7 linked regions of the Cricetulus griseus genome follow. The protein of the gene in region 5 interacts with the protein of the main gene of each other region in a pairwise test. Links are inferred from orthologs where the notes say so. Each region holds a gene or a part of one and is shown on either strand. Other genes may lie near its edges. The genes, in order: Map3k3, Grn, Trim36, Ca9, Glrx3, Mapkbp1 and phospholipid scramblase 2-like.

Region 1 (3,500 bases), on a different chromosome or scaffold from region 5:
TTTTTGGGGGGGGTGTCTTTTGTTTTGAAGGGTCTTGTTTTATATATATAGCTTATGCTAGTTTGGAGATCAGTCTCTCTGTTCCTATCTCCTGAGTCCTGAGATTATAGGAGTGCACTGTCTTGCTAAGCTAGTTATTGTTAATCTCTTATTAAACATAATTTAAACATTAAATTTTTGTCATAGATATACATGCTTTGGGTTTGCTATTATTCAGGATTTTAGGCATTCACTTGTGATCTTGCCCAAAAGAGAGAAAGAGGAAGATATGATATTATCAAGAGAAGTGACATTATGAATAATAGATGAGAACATTAACATTTTTATCATGTGTATGCACACACATGTACATGAGCATGCCGTGGCATGTTTGAAGATTAAGGACAATGTGCAGGAGTCAGTTCTCTCCTTCTATCACATGGATCTTGGGGGATGAACTCAAGTTGTCAGGCTTAATGACAAGCACCCTTACCCGCTGAGCTATCTCAAAGTCCTAAGAGCATTTTGTTTGTTTGTTTGTTTGGTTTTTTTGAGACAGATTTTTCTCTGTGTAGCTTTGGAGCCTTTTCTGGAACTCCCTCTGTAGACCAGGCTGGCCTCAAACTCACTGAGAGCCATCTGCCTCTGCTTCTCGAGTGCTGGGACTAAAAGGCGTGAGCCACCACTGCCTGGCTATAAGAGCATTTTTTAAAAAGCTGGCTGACTTCCAGTTTGTGTCACAGAGTTAGTTCTGATCCATGATTTGTGTTGAGGTTCTGTACTATTCCATCTCTGAAAGTAACTTTGTAAGGAAGGGAGGTCGTTTGCTTCCTGGAGCTGAAGATGCTGGGCTCTGGTGCCATGACCATCTGAATTACATCCCTGATCCCTTGGGCCCAGTCTTCTATCTGGCCCTGTTCCTCTTGTGCCTCATGTTGTCTCTGTGGTTAAATCTTCTTTTTGTGCTCTAGGCTCCCAGAACCCTGGCAGAAGCTCTCCTCCACCTGGTTACGTACCCGAACGACAACAGCACATTGCCCGGCAGGGATCCTATACAAGCATCAACAGTGAAGGCGAGTTCATCCCAGAGACCAGCGAGCAGTGTGTGAGTATGGGGGGCCGGGGTGTACCATGATATGTTCAGACCAAGATTGCTCTCAGTGACACATTACAGACCCAGGGAATTTGATGCACATGCCATAGTTCTTTGAAAACCAATCCTACCCCAAGATGGGTTATTCCTTTGAAAGGCCAAAGGTCAGTTCTTTTCAAAGATGCTATCTAAATTTCTTAACTTCACTAGTGTTAGTTGAGCACTTAACAATATCCCTTTTTAGGTCCTCTCACTAGGCCCCTTGTAAAACACCGCTGTACTGTATGTACTATTTGCAGACTTATTACAATGGCCTATTCTCATTCAGCAATTTTAACTATGAACTGACAGATTGTGGTTTTCATTGGCTACATTTTAATTTTGCTATTTCTTGATGAAACGGCTGGGGGGGTTGTAAATTATACTGTGGGACTGGTAAAATAACATGATTTTGCTAATAGCTGTGTTAATTGTCTTTTTTGTTTGTTTATTTGTTATGTTTTGTTTTGTTTTTTGAGACAGGGTTTCCCTGTGTAGCTTTGAAGCCTGTCCTAGAACTAGCTGTTGTAGACCAGGCTGGTCTCGAACTCACAGAGATCCACTTGCCTCTGTTTCCCAAGTACAGTGATTAAAGGCGTGTGCCACCACCACCCCACTAGTTGTCTATTGTTACATAATAAATTGTCACCAATTTGGTCTTAAAACAGTACACCTTTATTGTTTTAGTGTCTTTAGATGGGGAATTCAGACATGCCTTAACTGGTTTGTTTTTTTTTTTCCCTCATGGTCTCACAGGGCTACAGTCAAGGTACTCTCCAACTGCATTTTCTTCCTGAGCTTAGAGTTCTTAGCACAATTTAGTTCCTTATGTTTGGTAGGACTATGACCCTTTTTTTTTTTTTTTTTTTTTTTTTTGCTAGAGGTTGTTCAAGGATTCTATCAGATTCTAGAAGCTGCCTGCAGTTCCTTATTATCAATTTCTCATAGCATGGCCTTCTTCAAGGCCAGTCCAAGACTCAGTTGTTCCAGTCTACAAAATTGGAGTTGTTGTCATTGTCTTCTTCTTCTTCTTCTTCTTCTTCTTCTTCTTCTTCTTCTTCTTCTTCTTCTTCTTCTTCTTTTTTTTTTTTTTTTTTTTTCCGGGATAGGGTTTCTCTGTGTAGCCCTGACTGGCCTGAAACTAGCTTTGTAGATCAGGCTGGCCTTGAACTCAGAGATCCTCCTGCCTCTGGGTTTAAAGCATGCGCCACCACCACCCAGGCAAAGTTGGAGTCTTCTATAATATAATGTAATCATGGGGATGGGCATTCCTATCCTTTCTGCTATAGCCTGTTGGCTAGAACCAAGTCCCAGTTCTACTTGCATTCAAGGGAAGGGTTGAAGGGTTGGTTGTCCACCACAGTGGCGCACCCATTTTGATAGCCAGCTTTTTAACCAGTAACTTACTTAATAAAATTTACACTGGGTTGGGGGGGGGGGGCTGGAGAGATGGCTCAGAGGTTAAGAGAACTGGCTGCTCTTTTCTAGAGGTCCTGAGTTCAGTACCCAGCAACCACATGGTGGCTCACAACCATCTGTAATGAGATCTGGTGCCCTCTTCTGGCCTGCAGACATACATGCAGACAGAACACTGTAGACATAATAAATAATTTTGTAAAATGTCTGTAAAAATACAGGAAAAAATTACATTTTGGGTTAGTCAACTGAGTAAGTCCTCTCTGTTTTATTCTGCTTTTTTTTTTTCAGTGAGCTTGTCTTTATTGCAAAGAATTAAGTTCTTCAAAATTTCTGGAATTTGACTTAAGAAGGGAATATTTCTAACTTATAAAATAGCCAACAGAGGGGGCTAGAAAGATGGCTCAGGGAATTGAGTTTAATTACTAGCACCTGTGTCAGCAGCTCACAACTGCCTGTAATTCCAGCTGTAGCAGATCTCACACTATCTTCTGACTGACTTCCATGGGTATTGGCATCTATCCCCACACATACATATACATGAACACATAAACAAAAACAAAAAAAAAAATCTTTAAAAAGGAGGTGGTCTGGAAAGAAGGCATAGTAGTTAAAAGTGCTAACTGCTTTTGTAGAAGAGCCAAGTTTGGTTCCCATCACCTATACTGGGTGGCTCTCTGCCTAAAATCCTAGCTCCAGGGGATCTGGTGTCTCTTCTGGACTCAGTGGTCTCCTGAACTCGTATGTGCACATGCACACACACACATAATTTAACATCAGAATATGTGGGGTTTTACAGAATGTTCTTTAACGTTCACTATTCAAACTATGAGCTGTAGGAAGCCATTTACACTCTTCCTCCTCCTATGCTCCCACTCCCAGGGGATTTCATATTTAGAGCAGTAACATGCACTGCCTTCAGCTGCAGATTTCTTTCCTGGTAAGAAAATACTGACCATCTGTATTGACCATG
Region 2 (4,105 bases), on a different chromosome or scaffold from region 5:
GGAGGCAGCAGGGGCAGGGAAACAAGAAGTTCTGGGTCATACTCAGATACATATCAAGTTGGAGGCTGATCTGGAACACAGGAGACCCTGACTCAGAGAGCTGCAAGGATACTGGGGCTGTGTTAAGCAATTACAGAATTGCAGAATTACCCTAGATACTCCACGTTGGCCTCCACTTTCTGGGATTCCTGTAGCTCTAGCCCAAGAAGCCCACCAGGCTCCTCTCTATGCAAGACTCTTACTGTCCTGGATTTATTCGTAGGGCTGTCCCCATTCCCCTGAGTGGCCTACCAGTCAAGCTCTTTGCTCCTCCCAGGGGACCTATCTTCCACACCAACTCTGCCTTTCCTACAAGGCCCAGCCTTGGGCTTTCCTGGGGCCTGTCCTCTTCCTGGCAGGTCTCCAATCAGCCATTTCTGTCTGGCCCAGGCCCTTTGGCACTCAGCAGCCTGGCTTTTGTTTCTGGCTAATCTGTTCTACTGCTAAAAATCTCTATTCATGGACCATGACAATTCCTCGAAGGTAGGGGTAGCTGAAACTAGGAGGCCTCTTGCACCTCCACAGCCACCAGCCTGCTTCACCAGCCCATGCCACATACTTAGCTCATGCCCAATGCCCTTACTTTGAATGTGGCTTTTAACTCTTGCTAGACACTGTACTCCCCATCTGCTTTCCTAACCTCTTCCGGAGTGCCTCTGTCCCGCCTAACCAGCCCCTTAAAATTCCTCTAGATTCAGTTCAGCGTGATACCATCTCCTGGCTAGCTCAAAGTGGATTTACATCTATTCTTCCCCTACCTTCAGCCAATCTCCTGCCTGGTACTCGCCCTTGAACATTTATTAGATTTAGTATCCCACCCAAATCTGGGGACTGTTTATCTTTACCCTCCCAACTATCTTTCAGCTTGTTTGGAGTCCTGGCTGCCTAGCGTGAAAACAGTGAATGTACAAATGTCCCGATCCAGAAGCCGACGCTATGCTGTAAACGACCTTGAACGCGCGCCCCGCAGGCGCCTTCTTAACTGTCGGTGGCCTTAGGTACGCAAGCCCCATCTCTAGAACACCTCGCCAGGCGCCGCCAGGGCCCTGGGGGGTGGGAGGAAAGCAACCGAACAAGCAAGCGAGGCCCTGGGGGAGGCGGGCTATGGTGTCATATGATTGCCTGGTCACATGATTCCTAGACATGGGGTGTGGGGAGAGAGAGGAAAGGGAGGAGGAGTGTGGATTGAGTAGAAAAGAAACACAGCATTCCTGGAGAGTCCCGCCTCTATGTAGACAAGTAGCCAATGGAAGCCCCGGATTCCCGACCCAGGGCTAATGGAAACTGAGGTGGGCGGGCCATCGGGCAGCCAAGCCCTAGTCCGAGAGCTGACAGCCAGATGCCTCCCAGGGAGTGCGGACCCCGAAGCAGGTAGGAGGACCCGCAGCAGACATCTCCCTGGCTGCTGTCCAGAGGCCTGGCCAGGCTTGCTGTGCAACTGAGGCTGCCCCGGAGCCTCAGCTCAGAGACGAGAGAAGTCCTGCCTCTTGAAACTCCCCTCGGGGTTTCAGATGCACTAACGAGGGTTTGTCATTTGGGAGGAGTGGGAACAGTTGCTGTAGACACCCCCAACAAGAGGCTCCCCTGCCCAGCATGTCGGAAAGCTGCAGGGCTTTCTCCAGAGCAGGAAGCGCCCCACTCTTGGGCCAGCTTCATCTCTCTCGGTGCCTCCCACCTCTTGTCTCCAGGTCCCGGCACTTTCTCATTCTGGTGCCGCCAGTAGTCTTCGCGGCGACTTGCAGTGGGTGGGGATCTCCCGCCCTTGGTCCCAGAGCTCAGAGGAGTTGGGAGCAGGAGTTGGGCGTGGTGGCAGAATCCCTGGGTTGTGTCAGCCGTACTTCCTTTATGGGGGGCGAGAGAGCTAACTTCCGCCTCTCCCCGCCACTTTTCCCTGCTCCTCTGCTGGATTGGCTCACCTTTTGGGAAATTCATCTCCCCTTGACACTCCGGAGTCGGGGGTGCCACCTAGTGGAAGATCTCGAAGCTAGGGCCTTGAAAGGCTCCTCCAGTCCTCTCAGGCTATTTCAACAGAGTGGTGTAGAGGTGGCCAGAGGTCACCACTCCCTAACCCTAATGAAAGGGATTAGGTCTCCCCTACCCCATTCTAATCTGGCCAGGAGATGACCTCTGGGATATTCTTTGAGAGGGTGCTTGAAAACCTAGAGAAGGAAGGGGAGGGGGCACAATGAGGGACAGATCCTCTATGTAGCCCAGGCTGACCTCATAGTCACCCTGTAGCCTGGAATTTGTAATCCTCCCACCTTAGCCTCCCAAGTGCAGGGATCAAAAGCATGTTTGTCATGCCTATCGGAAGCTTTGAGGTCTGGATGTTGGGATTTTGCCTTCCATGGCCACCAGTATTCAGAGTTTGAGGCACAGGAAACAATTTCTGAGGCCCTCAGCAATTGATCAGTGGCAGATTTTACACCGTCCCTGTACCCACCCTTTCTTTTGTAGATTTTTTTGTTTTGCTTTTGTTTTTGAGCAGGATCTTTTTGTCCCTGGCTGTCCTGGAACTTGCTATGTAGACCAGACTGGCCTTGAACTCACAGAGATCCACCTGCCTCTGCTTCTGGATGCTAGGATTAAAGGCGTGTGCCACCACCGTCTGGCTGTACCCACCCTATTTCTATCCTGTGTAGGTCACCTGCCTGGGAAATGTTCTGCCCGCTTCCCTCTGCTTGGACCTCTGGCCTCTGGGATTTGGGGTCCATTCCCTGGCAATGTTCAGGGATGTCAGTTGACATAAGAATCCAGGTCCAATATCTGCAGTCTGTTTTCTCTGACTTGATACCTGGGCATGGATTTGAAAAGTGAAAGTAATCTGATCACTGCTTTGCATAGTTGTGCAGAGAAATACAGTAAGGAAGGGCAAAGTGGCTCCCTGGAGGGTCTTTGAATATTGCTGTTTTTGCTGCCCCAGGCAGGGGAGTGTCACTCTGGGTTGCTGGGTAGGCCAGCTGTGCTGGGGAAAGACTTATTAGGGAAGTGAGAGACTCGGTTCCTCCTGCTAAGGCAGAGGGCCAGTGAAGAAGTACACTTAACTTTGCTCTTGCAGCTGAGTTTCGATTTCTGAGTAGGGAGAAACAGGTGGTATGTTTGAGGAGTCCAAAGGAGTCCTGGTGATGCTGAGGAGGGCTGGTTATGAAATTAGCTTCAAGGCTAATCCAGCCACCATGTGCCCTTCCCCTGGGTGGGGAGGGGACAGTTGTGGGCAGGCAGTGGCTGGCCTGTGGGAAAGGCAGCCCAGACTCCCCTGGCCACTGCACTTCCGTTTTCACAACTTTCTCAACCCCTGGTTTCCCATATGATCATGTGATTGACAACTCTGTTTCCCCAAGGCCTTTGAAAAGTACATGTGGGAGTTCAGTGCCAGGCAGCGAGGTGAGGCTGGCTGTCCTCTTGTGGCCGCTGAAGTCTCCTCCCAGTTAGCCCACAGTCCCATAAATCAAAGCCACATGGCTTCCTGACTGTCATAACTCCGCGCCTCTCCAGTCGCCTATAGTGTCAGGTGTTAGGCCAAGTGTGATGACATGATGGACACTTGTGTTCATGCCAGCATTCGTGCTCACCGTGTGTGCAAGCTGGTGCAAGTGTGATGCTTACAGTGTAGGATGCTGACTCAGGCAGCTGCTTGCCTTCCTGCTCACTTGTTGAGAAGTTTCAATAAATCCAAGGCATGTCATGCCTTGGCCAGGGCATGGGGAACTGCATGGACTCAGAATAGAAGGTGGCATAAGCTTAAGATGGCTGCCAAACTTTCCTTGGCATTTGCAGGCAGACCATGTGGACCCTGGTAAGCTGGCTGGCCTTCATGGCAGGCCTGGTGGCTGGAACACAGTGTCCAGATGGTCAGTCGTGCCCTATTGTCTGCTGCCTGGACCCCGGAGGAGCCAGCTACAGCTGCTGCAACCCTATTCTGGTGAGTGTCTCACGCCCCAGCTGGCATCCTGGCCTTTTGAAGGGTTACCTTGGATTGGCCAGAAGAGGTCTGGCACAGATCCTCTGGTATATGTCATTGCTTCTTTCCAGGACACATTGCCTATGGTAATGAGCGATCGTCTAA
Region 3 (3,500 bases), on a different chromosome or scaffold from region 5:
TTTCTATTTGAAAACCATCAACTCAGCCTTAAATGATAGAAATCCTGGTAGATGGTACTCAGGTTACTTAAGAGTATCTTTACCCTCCACTCAGTTTTCAGTTTCCTGTTTGATGAGAAGTGTGGCTATAATAACGAGCACCTCCTGCTGAACCTGAAGAGAGACCGGGTGGAGAGCAGAGCTGGGTTTAATGTTCTCCTGGCTGCGGAACGCATCCAAGTGGGCTACTACACAAGCTTAGACTACATCATCGGAGATGTGGGAATATCGAAAGGGAAACACTTCTGGGCATGCCGTGTGGAGCCATATTCATACCTGGTCAAAGTAGGGGTTGCCTCCAGCGACAAACTGCAAGAGTGGCTGCGGTCTCCCCGGGACACGGCTAGTCCAAGGTAGGTTCTTTGCTTGTTAACAACTTTAAAAGTAAATTGAGTCCAAGATCTAACGCTAATGTACAAACTGACCTAGTGACGCCCATTGTATATGGAGAGATACCTTGCTTAGTCTGGCAGGGGTTGGGGGAGGTTTGGTCCTACCTCAATGAGATGATGGGACAGACTTAGTAAACTTCCTAGGGGAGGCCTTACCCTCTCCAAGGAGCAGATGGGAGGTGGGGGTGAGGAGGTGATGGGGGGAGCAGGAGGAAAGGAGGGAGGGGGAACTGGGATTGGAATGTAAAAAATAAATTAATAAAGTATCAGTGTCACACAAGATCACCCTGAAAACAGACTGGGACTCATTCATTATATTTGGAACACACATTCCTTAGATTCAGTGATTGGCTCTGCCATGTGGCTGCTTTAGAAAAGGACTCTGGGTGTATTGTATTTATTCACAGAATAATAATTAATTTTTGCTGCTATGAGAGAGTTTGTCTGTTTTGAATTCCTCTTCATTATGATTCAGCTTCAGAGCTTAAAGTTGGAAAGTTTTCCATAGTTCCTAAAGGGCGTGTTAAATCTACCCATACAGTGAAATGCCTTTAACTGCCTCTTTCATGGCACTAGAATTTTCCCTAACTTTTCACATTTCACAGAAGGAAAAACAATGTCATTATTCTTTCTTGATGTGGGAATCACAGTCAGGAAATAGGATTCTCAGGAGAAGAATGAGCCATGCTCTTATCTCATGTTAAGTGGCTAGTTATTTCCTTTAATCTATTAACCCCATGGGTGAGGGCATAGGTCTTTATATTTTATGACATACCACTGTGTACCATAAATATTAAATCTCAAATTAAGCCCTTTACCCTCCCCTGCTTTTTTTCAGTAGAAATGCATTTTAAGTTCTATTTATATATATAAATTTATGTAACAATGGATGGCACTATAGGGGATTTGGTACCAAGCACATAATTACAACTCTAAATGGCACTTTGAAGTCCGTGCTTTTTTATGTGTGTTAATAGATCAATTTTGGGTATGCTAACTTTAGAACAATATGTTATTTTTGGAGAATGTGTTGATGATACTGGGAGGCTGTGGCTGGAGATAAGTAAGGTCCTGTGTTTATTGTGTTGTAGATATGAGCAAGACAGTGGGCATGACAGTGGAAGCGAAGATGCCTGTTTCGATTCTTCACAACCTTTTACATTAGTTACTATAGGCATGAAGAAATTTTTTATACCCAAGTCACCTACTTCTTCTAATGAACCCGAAAATAGAGTTCTTCCCATGCCAACTAGTATAGGGATTTTCCTTGACTGTGATAAAGGCAAAGTGAGCTTCTATGATACTGATAACATGAAATGCCTGTATGAGCGCCAGGTGGACTGTTCGCATACAATGTATCCAGCATTTGCCTTAATGGGCAGTGGAGGAATTCAGCTTGAAGAACCCATCACAGCCAAGTATCTGGAATATGAAGAGGATGTGTAGCTTGTATACCACATGTGGCGAGGATGAAAACCGTGAAGGATGAAAACCGTGAACACAGCCATGCCTTGGTGTTAGTCTTCGTAACTAATTACATATCATTTATGTCTTCTGTCACCACACCTGTTTGTAGTGTTCGATTCTTTATCTTGTTTGGCTTTGACACACAGGGTCTTGCTATGAAGCCCAGGGTGGCCTCAAACTCTGTCCTTCTGTTATAGGCTCCAGAGTACTGGGATTATAGGTGGGCACCACCATACGCAGCTAGTGTATGAGTCTTTAACACTCAAAAGGCCTTCACAGACTTGTCCATTTCATGTCATTGTTCTGCCTTTCACAAATGGTGAGAGTGAAGGCATTTTTGTCACAACTAGTCCCAGGTAGCCAACTTTACAGCTGGTCCTTCTCTTTGGATACAAGGACTCTAATTTATTTAAGTCAGCTGATGTTGCTATTATTTACATTCCTTTCATTTTTGGGGGACAGGGTGGAATACAAAGTATTTATTGTGGTTCTTTGTGCTGATTTTTTTCATGTCCAAAGAGAAGATATTTTAAATGACTATTGATAGGAATTAGTCCTAAACCATGCATCTTGAACTTGTTGTTAATAGGAAAATAAAGTTACAGATAGGTAAAATGACAAAGGCCATAAAATGGTAGTATATTTAAGTAGAAAATTATGTATTTTAAAGTGTGTAACTACTGAGTGTATATTGCGTGGCAAATGAATACTGCTTTTTTTTGTAGACCACAGACTTTATTTATTGTTACGGACAGCTCTAAGAGTTGCCTGGGCTGTAAGGCTCCTTATTGGCATATGTAGCAAGCATGGTCTGTCATAGGAAACACAGGTTCTTGAACCTGTGCAACTTTTCACTGCAATATAATTTTTCCAGAAAATTTTATCTTCAAATTTTCTTACTTCAGAAAATACTTGCATTTATAGCAAAGAATTATTTTTCAGAAATATTAGTGAAGATGAACTGATAGTGAACAACTGTCTTGTGAGTTTTGTGGTTTTGGCACAGATGTTACACATCAGGTTTTTCTGGCTTACGTTTACAAATTTGAGAAGTTCATTGTCTGTCTTAATGGCATTAAAAGACCAGACATATTACATGTTACTATTGTCCAGTTGGGTCGAATTGTCTGTGGCTCAATGTAATCATAAACATTTTTAGAGCGAATCAGTAAAACACAAAATTATTTAGAAATAGTAACTAAAATCAAAAGGATTGTGTACAGTTAGTTTGAAGAATTACACCTTTTCTAAATTGGATGTTAGTTCCTGCAAAATTATCTTCTAGGCACCAAAATCATCTTTTAAATCGATGATTTTTATTTGAACAGCCTTTTTAAAAAGGTAAAATGTCCAGACACTAAGACTTACGCTTATGGAATGCTAACATTTTAGTGGAGTAACCAAAATTTTGGAAGCTCTTTATCTTACTTTTTTTTTTTATCGTTCTTAATGGAAGTCTGCTAGGCTAATCACACTGCATCAGACCCACCACTGACTCCCCCACCCCCATGTGGATAGGTCTGGAGAACTTGCATTTAGTGATTGTCATTCCTTTCCCATATATCTAGCACTTTATGACACAGGAAGCAAAGAGAATGTGCA
Region 4 (4,163 bases), on a different chromosome or scaffold from region 5:
TGCATGCTTGGGAACAGTAGCAATATCAGGAAGATTAGAGGAGACTCAGTAAATGTGCATTAAATGGACAGACTGGGGGCCTAATATAAAAACTGGATTCTGTCACCCTCTTCAAAATATTTCTTTTTACCTCTCTTTATTTGTTATGTGTGTGTTTGCACACGTTCATGTGCCATGGCACACATGGGAGACAGAGGGTTCTCTCTTTCCACCATGTCAATTCTGGGGACCCAACTCAGATCATCAGATTTGGTGGCAAGTGCCTTTACCCACTGAGCCATCTGGACAGCCTCTGTTCAAAATATTCCATGCCTCTCTTTTGCCCAGAGTACGATTCTCCTTACTGTGATAGCCACCTACCTCCCCATGGAGCTCCTACCTCTTCTTCAAAGGTGGGGTCAGATTTTGCCTACTTCCATACTTTCTTGCAGCAGAATTACGATAATATTTGTCCTCACTGGAGTGAGAGCTCCTCAGATATGGATTTCCGTATCCCTAGTCCACAGCCTAGCGTGCTGTAGGTACTGATACAGAATGCAAATATGAGTGGCATTCTTGGCACCGAGACTTAGATTTAAAAAGGCAGTAAAAAGTTTGGAGAAAAAGAAATGAGTATTTTAGGGCTGGGAGTGAAGCTCAATGGATGAGTACTTGTCTGGATTTAGTCTCCATCACTAAAAAACAAGGACAAAGGGCAGGAGAGCAAAAAAGTGCACACAAATGAGTAATCTGACTGGAACATTAGGGGGAAAGCAAGAGACAAGACTTAATGGTGTCTTGGGTGAGGTTTTGCAGACCTGGAAGTGGGAAAAAGAAAATGGTCATACTTTGGCAGGCAATGGGGGAGCCATCAGAGTCTTTCTCATATATATGTATATATTCAAACATTCATGCTCAAAATTGCCTCCTACTTAACCGTGAGACCCTTCCTACCCCTACCCAGCCCTAGGCTCCCCCAGTGTCTTTACCTGCCCCTTTAACGGAGACCTCACTGAGGCAGGATTTATACACGAGTTTCTTGTCTCCTCAGCCCAACTGCATGGGGGCCCCAGCTGCCTTCTTTCCTCTTCTCTGCCGAGGCTGGGAAGCAGGCCAGGCCTAGCAGAGACTGGCGGGCAGAAGCCGGGTGGTGCCACGGAGAACCTATACAGTGCCAGGTGGTGCCTTGGGCTCCAAGCTGAGCTGGTGATCCCGATAACCTTCTGCCTGTGACCACACCTGCCTCTTACCCCAACCCTGCCTCTTACCCGACCTGTGTCCAGGCTTTGGTATCGGGCAGGGGGCACGGGGCCAGGCAAACCTGTGGGACTTTGGCTCCATCTCTACAAAAGGGCATTCTGTGAGTCAGCCTGCTCCCCTCAAGGCTTGCTCCTCCCCCCACCCAGCTCCTATTTCCGATGCACGTACAGCCCGTACACCACACCGTGTCCTGGGACACCCCAGTCAGTCGCATGGCTTCCCTGGGCCCCGGCCCCCGGCCCTCTTTGTTGATCCCAGCCCCTACTGCGCCGCTGTTCTTTCTGCTGCTCCTGGTATCTGCTCATCCCCAGGGCCTGTCCGGAATGCAGGGGGAGCCCTCCTTGGGAGAGAGTTCATCTGGAGAGGATGATCTGGGCGTGGAGGATCTGCCCAGTAAAGAAGATGCACCTGGGGAGGCGGGTCAGTCTGGTAGGGAGGATCCACCTGAAGTTAACGCCAAAGCCAAAAAGGAGGATCCCCCGAAGTTAGAGGATCTACCCACTGTTGAGGCTCCCGAGGACAGTCAAAGTCCCCACGGGGACGGAAAAGGTAAGTAAGCGTCATCAGCTTCCAAAGTGAGGTTCAGGTAGTTTTCCACCTCCCTCACCACACCCCAACCCTAGCAGAGATGCAGGAGGGAAACTGTACTCTAACAGGTAGCCCTTCTCCCTACAGGGGAGAGTAGTTGGGAGAGATAAAAGAAGAAAGGGAGAAGTTGAAGAAGACATAGAATCGAGGAATGGATAGAGAGGCAGAAAAGTGTAGAGAGAGAAAGAGTGTGATAAGAGAAGGGGGTCTCAGAGGACGTATAGAGAGCAGACTGATGTCACAATTTGCAGTGCAGAAGCAATCGGCAGGCGGAGGAACTTTGGCTCGCTTTTGGGGCAGGAGGGGAGTAAGGGGTGAGGTGGGATATTGGGGGCAGGAGGGGAGTAAGGGGTGAGGTGGGGTATTATTACTTATCGGATCAGTTGGCCTTGAACTATTTCCTGCTGTCTACCTGTCTCTGAGCTCTGGGATTTCAGGTGTGTACCAGCACACTTGGCTCTGGGTTAGGAACTTGGAAAAGCTAGAGACTGGGAAGAGAGACCAGTGGGTGAGTAAAGGAAAAAGAAGGTTGATCTACTGATTTGGATCTCACACTGAAGCCACTCCACAGACCCTAGCATTTGCAAACTGTCTTCCCCCAGCAGGTTTGCTGACCACTCCCCCAGTGGCCGAGTCACAGTTGGTAGTAGGCCACCGTGCTTTGCACCTAGCCTGGACGCTCTTGTAAGACAACCCGGTCTGTGAGGCCCCGTCAGGGCTGGAGGGAATCTTTTTCTTTGTAGGCACTGGGAAGTGACTGGGCTGTAAGAGCGGGCTTATTAATTCTTCTCATTTATGCAGGGGGTGACCACAGTCCTTGGAGCTATAGAGGTAAGACACCGCCTCCCACACAGACCTACTCTGGGAGTCCAGGCTTTTGAACTGCCCCACCACCTCCTCCAATACTAGCTCTCATCTGGACCCACGTCTCTGCCCCTCCCCTTACTCCTGCCTCCACGCTTCCTGACTCCTCCCCTTCACTTACCCTAACGGTTCTTGTCCTACTCATCAGACTTCTTGCACCTTTTTCTCACATGCCAGGAACCCTACTCTGGCCCGAGGTGTCCCCAGCTTGTGCCGGCCGATTTCAGTCCCCTGTAGATATCCGCCCGGAGCTCACCTCATTCTGCCGCGCCCTGCAACCCCTGGAACTACTGGGCTATGAGCTTCAGCCTCTCCCGGAACTGAGCCTGAGCAACAATGGCCATACGGGTGAGGTGTCTGGGGCGGAGCCTACGGAGGGGAGCGGCAATTAAACTGTGCTTGGGGGTTGTGCTGGTGCTCCTGGGTGGCTAGACATCACTCCCTTGCCACTCCCCACACAGTACAGTTGACTCTGCCACCGGGGCTGAAGATGGCTCTGGGACCTGGGCAGGAGTACCGGGCCCTGCAGTTGCATTTACACTGGGGAACTTCAGATCACCCGGGCTCAGAGCACACTGTCAATGGCCACCGGTTCCCTGCTGAGGTGGGCATTAGGCTGTCCCAAGAGGAACAAAGAGGGTGTGATCAAAGCTCTGGCCTGAACCTGACCCTTACACCCTCTCTTAGATCCATGTGGTTCACCTCAGTACTGCTTTCTCAGAACTTCATGAAGCCTTGGGTCGCCCAGGAGGCTTGGCCGTTTTGGCTGCCTTTCTGCAGGTACCACACTTGACACTCATATCCCATGGGTTCAGTGCATCTTGCTAGCAGAGACCCCGTTGTTCCAGCACTCTCAAGCTGGTCAATTAGCTGTCAGTTCCATTCATGCTTTTGCTCATTCATTCAGCAGCAGCATGGAAACGGGAAGCAGACTACAAGACGGCTTCCTTTAAGGAACCCACAAACAGAGACTGACAGTCAGAAATGAAGAACACTAAAAATAATGGTCACAGAGGAGGTGAAACTTAAATCCTTCACTGGTGGGAAACAAGGAGGAATGTTGCACAGGGAGAGAAAGAATATGGACCATTCAGGGAATGCCACATGCAACAATGGGCCTGAGGAAGAGTCATTTCTCGGCTACTTCTGTGACCCATCATTTCCCCACCATGAAATGCAGTGTTTATTCAGTGACCTCTTTGTACCCCTAATGATCAAGAGTGCACACACCATGGTAGGAGGAAGCCAGGAAGTGAGGAGATGAGATGCCTGTAAGACTCACTAGTGAAGTTCATGGCACCAAGTGCCTCATCATGTAGATGCAGGTTACACTCCAAGAGTCCAACTCATGAATTATTAAAGTGAACACAGAGGTAACACAAGCACAGAACATTGTGGATTTCTTCAGGAGACCCGAGAGTATACCAGGAAATAATGGGGGAAACTGTGAAAGTTAGCAGGGCCCAGATCAC
Region 5 (3,500 bases):
GGGGTGAGGAGCATAGTGCACATCATGATGGGAAAATGCTCACTGATACATCTTGGGAACTTCTAGATGGCTCAATGTATAGCTCCCCCCCCCCAATTGAATAATACCTTACTGAATTGGTTATTATTATATTTTTAGTACTACAAGTTGATGGGCTTAAATTGCAACTGGAAGGAACATTCTTTGCCTTAAAAAGGCATATTATGTTTTACAGTGGCTCAGGGAGAGAATGAAATAAAGGAAAGTGTCAGTGCTTTTGCTTGTTTAATACCACTCAAAGCTGTGAGCTGTCATCCTGCTATCCCTCAAATATGCCTGCTACTCATGAAGCAGAGCAGAAGTGGTGTTTAATAATTGAGCTGAGCCATTTTATATCAATTTTCTCTCTTCAGGCTCAAAGTGCTGACCAATAAAGCTTCTGTGATGCTCTTTATGAAAGGAAACAAACAGGTAAGGAACTCAAAAATGGTTTTATTTGTAATTTCTTTTGATGTTAACATCTGCAGCAAGGGGACAGTTAAGTCTTTTTTTCTAGTTTAGCTAATGAAGCTGTAGTGGTACCAGGAAGTTATCCTGGCCTTAATTGGTGCTTATGGAGATCAAACAAAGTAATCTCCATTTCGACTGACTTTATCATCAGTGTCTCAGCAGGGTGCATTGCTTTCTGCTGCCAAACTTTGTCAGCTGAAGTGGTCAACACTATGAGCGAGCACTTAGCGGATTCTCTCAATTGCTGTCCCAGTATCCTTTGTTTGAGAGAGTGGACCGTGGGCAAATGTACTTCGCTGGTGGTTCTGAGATTCTTGGTCTTAGGTCCTTGGAGTGGGAAATAAACCCTGACAGTAGCCCTATTGCTCTGTGGTACCTGGTTGATGAGTGAGTAAAACTACCATGATTCTCATTTGTAGTACGATGACTGGTTCTTGTACTTTGATGAAAGTACATACTGAATTTTCATTAGTTTGATAGGTCCCCTTGCACTCATTATTGGGCGAAAAGCTGATTCTTTTCTGGATTGGGATTAGGCTGGTAATTTTGAAAAGCTAGCCCTGTCATTTCTCTTGCATTTTACAGTTTTAACAGTTGAGTTTTGGCTGTTCAGCTTCACGAAAGCAAAGCTATGCAGTTTGCTTTTCTCAGGATAAGGAGACTAAAGTTCAGAAGAGTGAGGTGGTAGAGTAAGGAAGCTGCCCAGGTTCTGGACAAGCCGCTTTGGGCAGGTGATGCCACGAGGTCTTTGTCTTCCTTTGTCTTTTTGTGAACTGACCTAATGATGCCATTAGACTGTTTTAACTTCAGGTTGCTGTAAGGGTTGCTGTGGTATCAACAGAATGAGACCCATTAGTTAAAACAATTAACTAGTTAATGTAACTAGTGTGGTAGAAGTACTAAGGAAGACAATATAATTTTAGCAACTTGGTACCGCTGTGTTAGGACATAGACTCTGTGACTGTAGTAATGATGAGGCAGCACTCTTTTGCTCCATTATTTTGAAAGCAGACTTTGATTCTTCACATTTCTTGTGGCTGTCCTGGTAGAATTTGCATTTCTTGGAAATGGTGTCCTGAGAGGTTTTGAGACGTTATGTATTATCAGACTTCTTTCCCAAGATAGCTGGGGCTTGGGGAATCTCTGACCTGAAATAAAGCATAGGATTTCAATCACTTCAAATGAGCTGATGCCACAATGCAAAGATAAGTTTAAAAGATGTGATAAAGGTCTGTGGCAATGTGGAAACAGTTACTTTAGTTATTGCCACTGACTTCTCTATGTCCTATCCCTTTGCATAAAGCAAGGAGAGTCAGGTGAGTAGATGATCTGGGTTTCACTTAGGGAAACTTGTGACCATAAAGGTTTTAAGCTGCTACATGTCCCCTCATTTTAGGAGGTCTGTAGGTTGTTTGGGATGATGGCAGCCTGGATGAGTACTTCATAGGGAAGGGAACGGAAGCATGGGAGCTGGGTAAACACAGTGGCTGGGGTGCCAACTTGAGCATTTGCTGCAGCCACACTTACTGGGTCTGTGAAAAAAAAAATGAACAATGTACTTCTTTTTTTAAATGTAATTTAGGAAGCAAAATGTGGATTCAGCAAACAAATTCTGGAAATACTGAATAATACCGGGTATGTAAATCTTGTTTTCAAGTGTTATATATAAAAAAAATTGTAGCTTGTCAGTTTTGCCACTGATACTTTACAGCTTTAATGTCAAAGCCTATTTGCATAGTATTTATTGACAAGTATAGTATTTATTGGCAAGCAAGATGGCTTAGAGGGTAAAAGGCACTTGTCCCCAAGACTGATGACCTGAACATGATCCCTGGGACCCAAATAGTAGAGGGAGAGAACTGACTCCTACAGGTTGTCCCCTGGTGTCCACACAAATACCTTGGCCTTTCATTGTCCCCATTAAGTACATAAGAGAGTTTTGGCAGCTCCTGCTGTAGCTAGTTTTGTCCATCAAAGGCTAGTAATTTTGTCTTAGAATGACAAGCCCAATGATAAAGTCATTCCCATTGCTTTATAGTAGGCTTTCTCTAGTAAGTTTTGTTAGCAGGGAATGCTTTTCTTGACCATATTAAAAACACTAGTTGGGTTTTATGTTTTTTTGTTAAAAAGATTTCTCCCTTTCAGGGTTGACTATGAAACTTTTGACATACTGGAGGATGAAGAAGTAAGTTCTGGGATTTTTGTTTCATCCCATGTTTAGCTTTAGTAACAGGGTCTGGTGGAAAGACCTCAGGGTTCCTGATTTTTTTTTTTTTTTTTTTTAGGTGCGGCAGGGATTAAAAACGTTCTCGAACTGGCCAACCTACCCTCAGCTGTATGTGAGAGGGGAGCTTGTAGGAGGATTGGATATTGTTAAGGTAAGGGCTTTTCGTTGCTCTTCTAAAGAACTGAGAAATTTGACATGTTTAAGCATCCAACTTTAGTGTTGTCTGGCTCCTGTTTTCTCCAGCCTCACATTCAGCATCCTCTGTGAATATGTCTTAGTGTCTCTTGCTTACTCCTGCTCTGAGTTGTCCTCAAATCCATTCAATGCTGCCAGCTGCCAGTGAGAGCTAAACTGTGTAGCAAAATGTTCAGATGAACTCAGGACCCTGCTGTGCTAACTGCAGTACAGCTTTCTTCTCTGTTTTCTTGCCTACCAACCATCTTTACCTGATTCCTCTAACTTTTAGATTTTCTTGTAGCATCCATATTTCCTCCATCCTTCAGGGTTCATCTTCCTTGTAAATGTGTACATTCTTCCTGCCAGAAACATTTCTCTGCCCCCAAATTCTTATGCTCCTTCAGTTTTTGTTATTGTAATTGTTTCTCTGGCCATTTTCCTTTTCCCTTAACCTATCTCAGGTACAATGAGGAAGAGGACTAGGAGACTGAGGCAAGAGTCTCTTGGCCCCTATGCCATAGTGGCTACAGGTCACCTCTGCCAAGTGACAGGACTCTTTTAGTTGTTGGAGTGTTTAAAATTCTGTTTAAAGCAAATACTGCATGTT
Region 6 (2,774 bases), on a different chromosome or scaffold from region 5:
CTAGGCCCAGGTGGGGCCCCCTTTTCTGTATCATTCTCTACTGAACCTCACCTCACTTGCAGTGTTCTTGTTGCAGGTGACCAGCTGTAAGACACCTTCAGCAGAGCACAGCCACATCACCCGTCTCCTGAGGGACACCTTCTCTTCAGTGCGGCAGGAACTAGAGGCCCTGACTGGAGCTGTGCTGTCTAGCCCGGGCGGCAGCCCCGGGGCTGTGGGGGCTGAGCAAACTCAAGCCCTGTTGGAGCAGTACTCAGAGCTATTACTTCGAGCTGTGGAGCGGCGTATGGAGCGCAGACTTTGATTTCCAGAAGCCTGTCCAAAATGAATGCTCCCCACTGAACCTGTAACCCTTCTTCCACTCATCAGAACCTGTGAGAATGTCTGGAGTGGACAGCAGGGGTCAGTGCTCAGAGGCAAAGCAGCTTTCCCAGCTGCTGCTCAGGGGCCCCTGTATTTATTAATTTATTTCCATGACTGTTGCCTCACTTCCTTGGGACTCCTGCCTCAAAAGCCCCTCCAGTGGCTCATAGCAGGGCAGGTCTTGAGTCTATGTCTTCTTGGTGCTGTGAGGGGTAGGAGGGCAGCCTGCCTCATCTGGGGGCACTGGGAAGGGCTGGCCTTCTCTTCTTAGAAGCCATTTGAATTTACTTCAGGGATCAGCTCCCTGGGGTGGAGCATACACAGGGTACTCCCTGGGGTGGAGCGTACACAGGGCACTCTGGGGGAGCGGTGAGAGGAGATGAGGCACTTAGTGCCCTCAAGCCAGCTGTAGACCCTTACCTCTGCCCTCACACCAGCTGCACTCTCCTGGCTGCCAAAGCAGGAGTGGTTTTACCCTATTCCTGGCAGTTGAGAAAGGTAGAGCTGCCTGGCCCTCCAGGGGATCCCAGCCCTTAGAAGACTTGAGTTGGTGTCAGGGCCTGAGCCGCACATTCCACTCCAATTCTCCCTGCAAGAGAGCCCCAGTATTTTCTACCGAATCCCTTTTTTTTTTTCCTTGTGGAGCCAGTTGTGGGATTTTGCTGCAGGACAGTGAAGCCCTCTGCTGAGCAAACACAAAGCCTGCCTACTTTTCTCAGCCCTTTGGGCTTCCTCATTCTCTAACCCTGGTCCCTAGAGGACTACTGAAGCCCCAGGGACCGCTTTCTCCCTATATCCTGGGCAATGCGCAATCAGAAAACTGTATTGGGAGTTCCCTCATGGTTTACAGGGCACTAGCCCACCTTCCTAGGACTTTGGCCACACACAGACACACACGTATACACAGTTGGAGTGTTCATTGTTAGAATACTTGCCTGGCTGGTAGGTACCTGGTTCTATCACATTTGGCCTCAGCTTCACTAGCCTGGCTTAGTTAGAACTCTTATCCAGAAACATGAGAAGGAGCACACTAAAATTCTGGAATCTTGGTGTCCGAAGCCAGGTTGACAGGAGATGGCTATAGGATACCTGGCTCACAGAGGAGGCTCTTTTTCAAAGGCAGAACTGGGTGCTCAGAGACACTGGGTACTGGAGATTGTGGAGTGGAGGCTGTGGGCAAGAGACACGCTGGAAAAGTGATAGGTGGACAGGTAGATGGCAGAGGTAGGGGGACAGAATTAAGGTAATTGTTAGAGGGTAAAGAGAAGCTATAGGCAGGCTGTAGGTAGGAACAAGTAGTGAGGTGGTTGCAGAATTGGAGTGAGTGTGTGTCTCCGGGCCCTCCCCCCTCTGCATTAGGTAACGCAGAATGACATTTCACAGGATTTAGACAACAAAACCTGCTGAAGCACCTTCCAAGTTCTGGAGGCAGAGGCTAGAAAGAAACAGCTTTAATGGGTGCTTAGCCTTGGTGGTTCGGCCTGAGTGCCCCAAGTACATCCAAACCATGTATTCCCATTTTTTACTACCGGCCTGACCAAACTCCTAGTCCAAAGAATAGCAGCGGCTGGGGCGGACCCTTTGGCAGTCAGGATTAGATATCTGCTTACTGCTAGGGCTGCCCTGACCTTAGCCAGCCTGCTCTTCTTGAGGGAGCCGGTCTTTCCCTGCGCTCTAGCCTGCACGGATGGGGTCTTGAGGCCAGTGGTGCTTGGTTCCCTTTGCATGTCGGAGGCCACTGGCCACTGCTGCCCACGTCCAGATTTGTCCCATCCCGGTTTTAAAAAGCCCCTTATTTATAACTTTTATACTGTGGCGCCTGTCTCCTCCCCGGCTGTACGGGGTGGGGCTGTTTTAACGTCTCGTTTGTACCGATGTATGAAATTGTCAATAAACACAATGATTTGTTAACTGGCTAGCAATCTCTGAAGAAGGCGCCGCTGGTCGCACCTCCTGAGGGGCGGGGCGCGGCGCGGCGAGGGCGGAAATGGGGCGGGGCTGGAAGCCTAGAGCGGAAATAGGGGCGGGTTCTATTCCCGCGAGCGTCATGGCGGAGGCGGCGCTGGGTACGGTGCGGAAGGTGTTGCAAGAGTTCCCGGCGGCGGCTCGCGGTGAGTGGCGTCAGCGCCAAGACGGCGTGGAGAGAGCCTGGGGTACCGGAGCTCAGGACGTGTGTTCACGAGTGGCCTATTGGCGGCCTCACATTTTCGTGTGTCAGTCACCCTTCTCTAGCTAGCGGACGAGTGCGCTGCTCTTGGTCACACGTGGGGTGCAGTTGTGGTTGTGTTCAAGGCCCGGGGGGTGCCGACTCCCTGCGCTCTGCATTGCTGCATTTTCGGTACAGAAGACTCAGCTTCAAATATCTCGGATGCCGGTGGGTTCTGAGGAGAGAAGCAGTCATTCGACTGTCC
Region 7 (3,500 bases), on a different chromosome or scaffold from region 5:
GAGTGAAAAGAGTCATTTGTAGAAGATAGATGAAACTAGACACAGCATATTAAGAGATACAAACCAGTCTGGGTGTGGTGGTGCACACATTTAATTCCAGCAATTGGGAGGCAGAGACAGGTGGATCTCTGTGAATTTGGCACCAGTTTGGCCTACATAGCAAGTTAAAGACCTCCAACCATGGCAGTATAGTAAAACTATCTCAAAAAAACAAGTATCAAAAATCAACACAACAACAAAACACACACACACACACACACACACACACAGAGAGAGAGAGAGAGAGAGAGAGAGAGAGAGAGAGATACAAGCCAGATTCCCAAAGACAGATATACCTACTTTTATTATTATTTTTGTGTGTGGAATATAGTTATAAAACCATGACCATATAACATCAAAAGCATACTCAGTTATTTGAGGGATTAGTCAGAACCCAGTGGGACAATATAGACAGGTACACAAGAGGCTAATGGAAGATGAATTGTGAACAAAGAACATGATATTCAAGTATGTCAGTGTCACAATATAATGTGTTACTTTGTCTGCTAATTTAATTGTTAATATTGTTGTAAACTTTGCTTTGTTGTTCTGAACTGTGTGTGTGTGTGTGTGTGTGTGTGTGTGTGTGTGTGTGTGTGTGTGTGTGTGTGCACATGGGTGGCTATAAAAATAGATCACATATTGAAGTGCATTTCAGAGTTCAGATAAAAAAGATTGTCTGAAACCCAATAATCAGATAGAAGGTGCTCCAGTGACACAATCTGGATATAGATTAGCGAGAGGCACTTATACAACACAGAGAAAATCAGTATGCTCCTGTGAAAGAGAGAAACACCTGTGCATCTGGCTTATGTCTCATTATATGGTGATGTCTACTTTCATATTTCTTCCTACAAATGAATTCATGCTTCTTTATGGCTGAATAAACTATTATCTATATCCATTATCATATCCATATCAAGATCCATATTATCTCTATCTATATTCCTCTCTCCGTGTCTCTCTGTGTCTCTGTCTCTGTCTCTGTCTCTCTCTGTGTGTGTGTGTGTGTGTGTGTAGTTTTCTTCATCATATGTTGGTAGGTATCTAGGCTGATGCCACATCTTGGCTGATTATGACTAACTGGTATAACAATAAACTTGGTTGTGTATACCTATAATTAGAAGCAGGTATAAACCACAGGTACTGCATTGAAAAGTCTTAAACATCATAGACCAGAGTGGAGAGGCCTCAAGATAATTCAACATGAAATGATTATACTTTTCTCTATGAAGTTGCAAATCAATTTCCTTGCTCCTATTTCAGGAATTCCAGAACATACTGGATGCCCTACATTCCAGACTGACTACCAAGGTCCCCACTCTGGTAACCCAGGACCTCAGGCTGGCTACACAGTCTCAACAGCTGGCTGTGAAGGTTATAATGCAACACAGCTTCCTGTTCAAAATAACCAGGCTATCATCCTTGTTAATACCCAATGGATGCCAGCACCACCACCTCTTCAGAGCTGCCCACCTGGGCTAGAATACTTAAGTCAGGTAAATCCACATACTCAGAACTCACAAAAGACAAAACTGTGTTTCTACTTCTAGTTTACTTGGACAACAAATGAATAATTCACCGAAGTATAGCATTGTCCTCATGTCTTCTGGTTACTCATAGTAACTGGTTCCACTAGATGAAGTTCAGTTGTTGTGCAAATTACCAAGGTGTGAGACAATTGTGTTTTCCTGTGAGTCTGGCCTATAACCCCTAATAGGCAGTATTTACTATACATTATTCTAGTCATTGTTTCAAGTACAATCCTTAGAAAATCTGTGACATGTGCACAAGATTATCACTGGTTTTTCAAAGAGGGAAACCAGCGTCAAAAAATGCTAACTGCTTTGTGGAGGCTCTAAAACCACGGAACAGTCATTGTGACTTACTTTTTAACTGTGAACTTTGGTAATGAGTATAAAAGCTTTTTACCCCAAGGCTGACCCACAGCCTTGGTATTTGAAAAAAGAGAGTCTAAAAAAAATTAGTTATTGTCTTTAAAGGATACCTAAAAAAGAGCAAGTTTAAAATTTTTCTCTTTGTTTTTTTGATACGGGGGTTTCTTTGTGTAGCCCTGGCTGTCCTGGAACTCACCTTGTAGATCAGGCTGGCCTTGCACACAAGATCCACCTGACACTGCCTCCCAAGTACTAGGATTAAAGGTGTGCTCCACCACTGCTGGGAAAGAGTAATTTTTTTCATATATGTAGTTTTATAAACTGTAACTCCACTTTTATTCTTTAGAAAACCCAATATTATAATTGCCTCCAGTGAGGGAAGAAAGTCTGGCTTTTGCCGAACTATAGTTCAATGATAATGAATTTTAGCAAAAATGCAGTTTAATAATAGCTCAATATGAAAAGCTGGTGAGGTAAAAAGAGGGCTGTGAGGTACACCAAATTCATGAACACATCCAGAGGGCCCTGTGATATCTAAGCCATCTCTAGTCTGTCTGGCACACATAGCACTAACATGTCCTGTGTGTGTTCAAGCAACAGACTTAGAAATTTTCAGTCATTTTGAATGCTCAGCCGTAAGAGGACATTGTTATGAATTCTCACACACACACACACACACACACACACACACACACACACACACACCAAGACTTGGGGAAATTATAGAGAAGGAGGCAGAAAGAATGTAGAAGTAGAAGAATAAGGAAAGGTGCCATGGAATGCAATCTATTGGATGAGGTGTGACTGCTGAACTCAGGAATGCACAGCAGCTAAGGGGGGCTTCCTAACTGAGGAGCTCTGGACACTTGTTAGCTTCTGGGGAAGGAAGCTCATTCTTCTTTGTGGGTGTGAGCACTGGCAGTTTTCCCATGCTCTACTCTATACCTGCACACCTGTGTACAAATGGGCAGCACTAATTGGACTTAGTGGATTATTTAAATATAAGAGAAATTTCAGTGCTAATTGTAATCTTAAAAATACTCTGGAATATACATAATTTAATCATGGAAAATAAAATATGAAGGAAAATTATCACTTACAAGGGATAGCTTCCTATAAGAAAATTATTTGAATGGATAAATAAATTATCAATCAATCTCATTTTCTGGAAAGAACACTTTTTTGTAATTTTATGGGAATTCCATTACAAATCAACTTTATTTGACTTAAAAATTCTTACTTTTGAGATGAACAAAAGTTTAAATAAACAAACTAGTGCTTGGGAAATGGCCCAAGAATTAAGAGGTATTCCTGGTCTGGCAGAGGACCCAGGTTTGATTCCCAGCACCCACATGGCCACTTACAACCATCTTCAGCTCCAGTTTCACTGAGTCTGTCTCCCACATATGCCCTCCGAAAGTACTGGATGCAAGGGGTACACTTACATGCATTTAGGCTGCACATTCATACAGGTAAAAATAAGTCCATCTTTAAATAAATATTTGCCATTAATATATAAAAATGTGATGCTATACAAAATACAATGGGGAGTGTGAAATGTTG

What was found.
Region 1: the proteins of Glrx3 (region 5) and Map3k3 interact in a two-hybrid assay, tested with the Homo sapiens proteins (2 studies listed by BioGRID and IntAct). The link is inferred for Cricetulus griseus from reciprocal best matches to the Homo sapiens genes GLRX3 and MAP3K3.
Region 2: the proteins of Glrx3 (region 5) and Grn interact in binary tests that used the Homo sapiens proteins (3 or more experiments, as listed by UniProt). The link is inferred for Cricetulus griseus from reciprocal best matches to the Homo sapiens genes GLRX3 and GRN.
Region 3: the proteins of Glrx3 (region 5) and Trim36 interact in binary tests that used the Homo sapiens proteins (3 or more experiments, as listed by UniProt). The two-hybrid records come from large-scale screens. The link is inferred for Cricetulus griseus from reciprocal best matches to the Homo sapiens genes GLRX3 and TRIM36.
Region 4: the proteins of Glrx3 (region 5) and Ca9 interact in binary tests that used the Homo sapiens proteins (3 or more experiments, as listed by UniProt). The two-hybrid records come from large-scale screens. The link is inferred for Cricetulus griseus from reciprocal best matches to the Homo sapiens genes GLRX3 and CA9.
Region 6: the proteins of Glrx3 (region 5) and Mapkbp1 interact in binary tests that used the Homo sapiens proteins (3 or more experiments, as listed by UniProt). The two-hybrid records come from large-scale screens. The link is inferred for Cricetulus griseus from reciprocal best matches to the Homo sapiens genes GLRX3 and MAPKBP1.
Region 7: the proteins of Glrx3 (region 5) and phospholipid scramblase 2-like interact in binary tests that used the Homo sapiens proteins (3 or more experiments, as listed by UniProt). The two-hybrid records come from large-scale screens. The link is inferred for Cricetulus griseus from reciprocal best matches to the Homo sapiens genes GLRX3 and PLSCR1.

What each region holds. Positions count from the first base shown.
Region 1 is NC_048600.1:119,080,079-119,083,578, forward strand, and holds part of Map3k3 (mitogen-activated protein kinase kinase kinase 3), read left to right. Parts: intron 1-950; coding exon 951-1,084; intron 1,085-3,500. UniProt on the Homo sapiens protein: Component of a protein kinase signal transduction cascade. Mediates activation of the NF-kappa-B, AP1 and DDIT3 transcriptional regulators.
Region 2 is NC_048600.1:115,672,851-115,676,955, reverse strand, and holds the start of Grn (progranulin), read left to right. Parts: upstream 1-1,305; 5' UTR 1,306-1,378; coding exon 1,379-1,410; intron 1,411-3,816; coding exon 3,817-3,961; intron 3,962-4,071; coding exon 4,072-4,105. UniProt on the Homo sapiens protein: Secreted protein that acts as a key regulator of lysosomal function and as a growth factor involved in inflammation, wound healing and cell proliferation. Regulates protein trafficking to lysosomes, and also the activity of lysosomal enzymes.
Region 3 is NC_048595.1:191,869,325-191,872,824, forward strand, and holds part of Trim36 (E3 ubiquitin-protein ligase TRIM36), read left to right. Parts: intron 1-94; coding exon 95-392; intron 393-1,522; coding exon 1,523-1,877; 3' UTR 1,878-3,500. UniProt on the Homo sapiens protein: E3 ubiquitin-protein ligase which mediates ubiquitination and subsequent proteasomal degradation of target proteins. Involved in chromosome segregation and cell cycle regulation. May play a role in the acrosome reaction and fertilization.
Region 4 is NC_048595.1:100,007,358-100,011,520, reverse strand, and holds the start of Ca9 (carbonic anhydrase 9), read left to right. Parts: upstream 1-1,363; 5' UTR 1,364-1,397; coding exon 1,398-1,788; exon of another isoform or gene 1,789-2,315; intron 2,316-2,628; coding exon 2,629-2,658; intron 2,659-2,812; exon of another isoform or gene 2,813-2,868; coding exon 2,869-3,039; intron 3,040-3,152; coding exon 3,153-3,295; intron 3,296-3,378; coding exon 3,379-3,471; intron 3,472-4,163. UniProt on the Homo sapiens protein: Catalyzes the interconversion between carbon dioxide and water and the dissociated ions of carbonic acid (i.e. bicarbonate and hydrogen ions).
Region 5 is NC_048596.1:63,470,510-63,474,009, reverse strand, and holds part of Glrx3 (glutaredoxin-3), read left to right. Parts: intron 1-392; coding exon 393-450; intron 451-2,071; coding exon 2,072-2,124; intron 2,125-2,634; coding exon 2,635-2,674; intron 2,675-2,774; coding exon 2,775-2,867; intron 2,868-3,500. UniProt on the Homo sapiens protein: Together with BOLA2, acts as a cytosolic iron-sulfur (Fe-S) cluster assembly factor that facilitates [2Fe-2S] cluster insertion into a subset of cytosolic proteins.
Region 6 is NC_048599.1:58,467,727-58,470,500, reverse strand, and holds the end of Mapkbp1 (mitogen-activated protein kinase-binding protein 1), read left to right. Parts: intron 1-76; coding exon 77-304; 3' UTR 305-2,274; downstream 2,275-2,774. Other genes in the region: bifunctional peptidase and (3S)-lysyl hydroxylase JMJD7, read left to right, coding at 2,411-2,474. UniProt on the Homo sapiens protein: Negative regulator of NOD2 function. It down-regulates NOD2-induced processes such as activation of NF-kappa-B signaling, IL8 secretion and antibacterial response. Involved in JNK signaling pathway.
Region 7 is NC_048597.1:201,287,349-201,290,848, forward strand, and holds part of phospholipid scramblase 2-like, read left to right. Parts: intron 1-1,305; coding exon 1,306-1,538; intron 1,539-3,500. UniProt on the Homo sapiens protein: Catalyzes calcium-induced ATP-independent rapid bidirectional and non-specific movement of phospholipids (lipid scrambling or lipid flip-flop) between the inner and outer leaflet of the plasma membrane resulting in collapse of the phospholipid asymmetry which leads to phosphatidylserine externalization on the cell surface.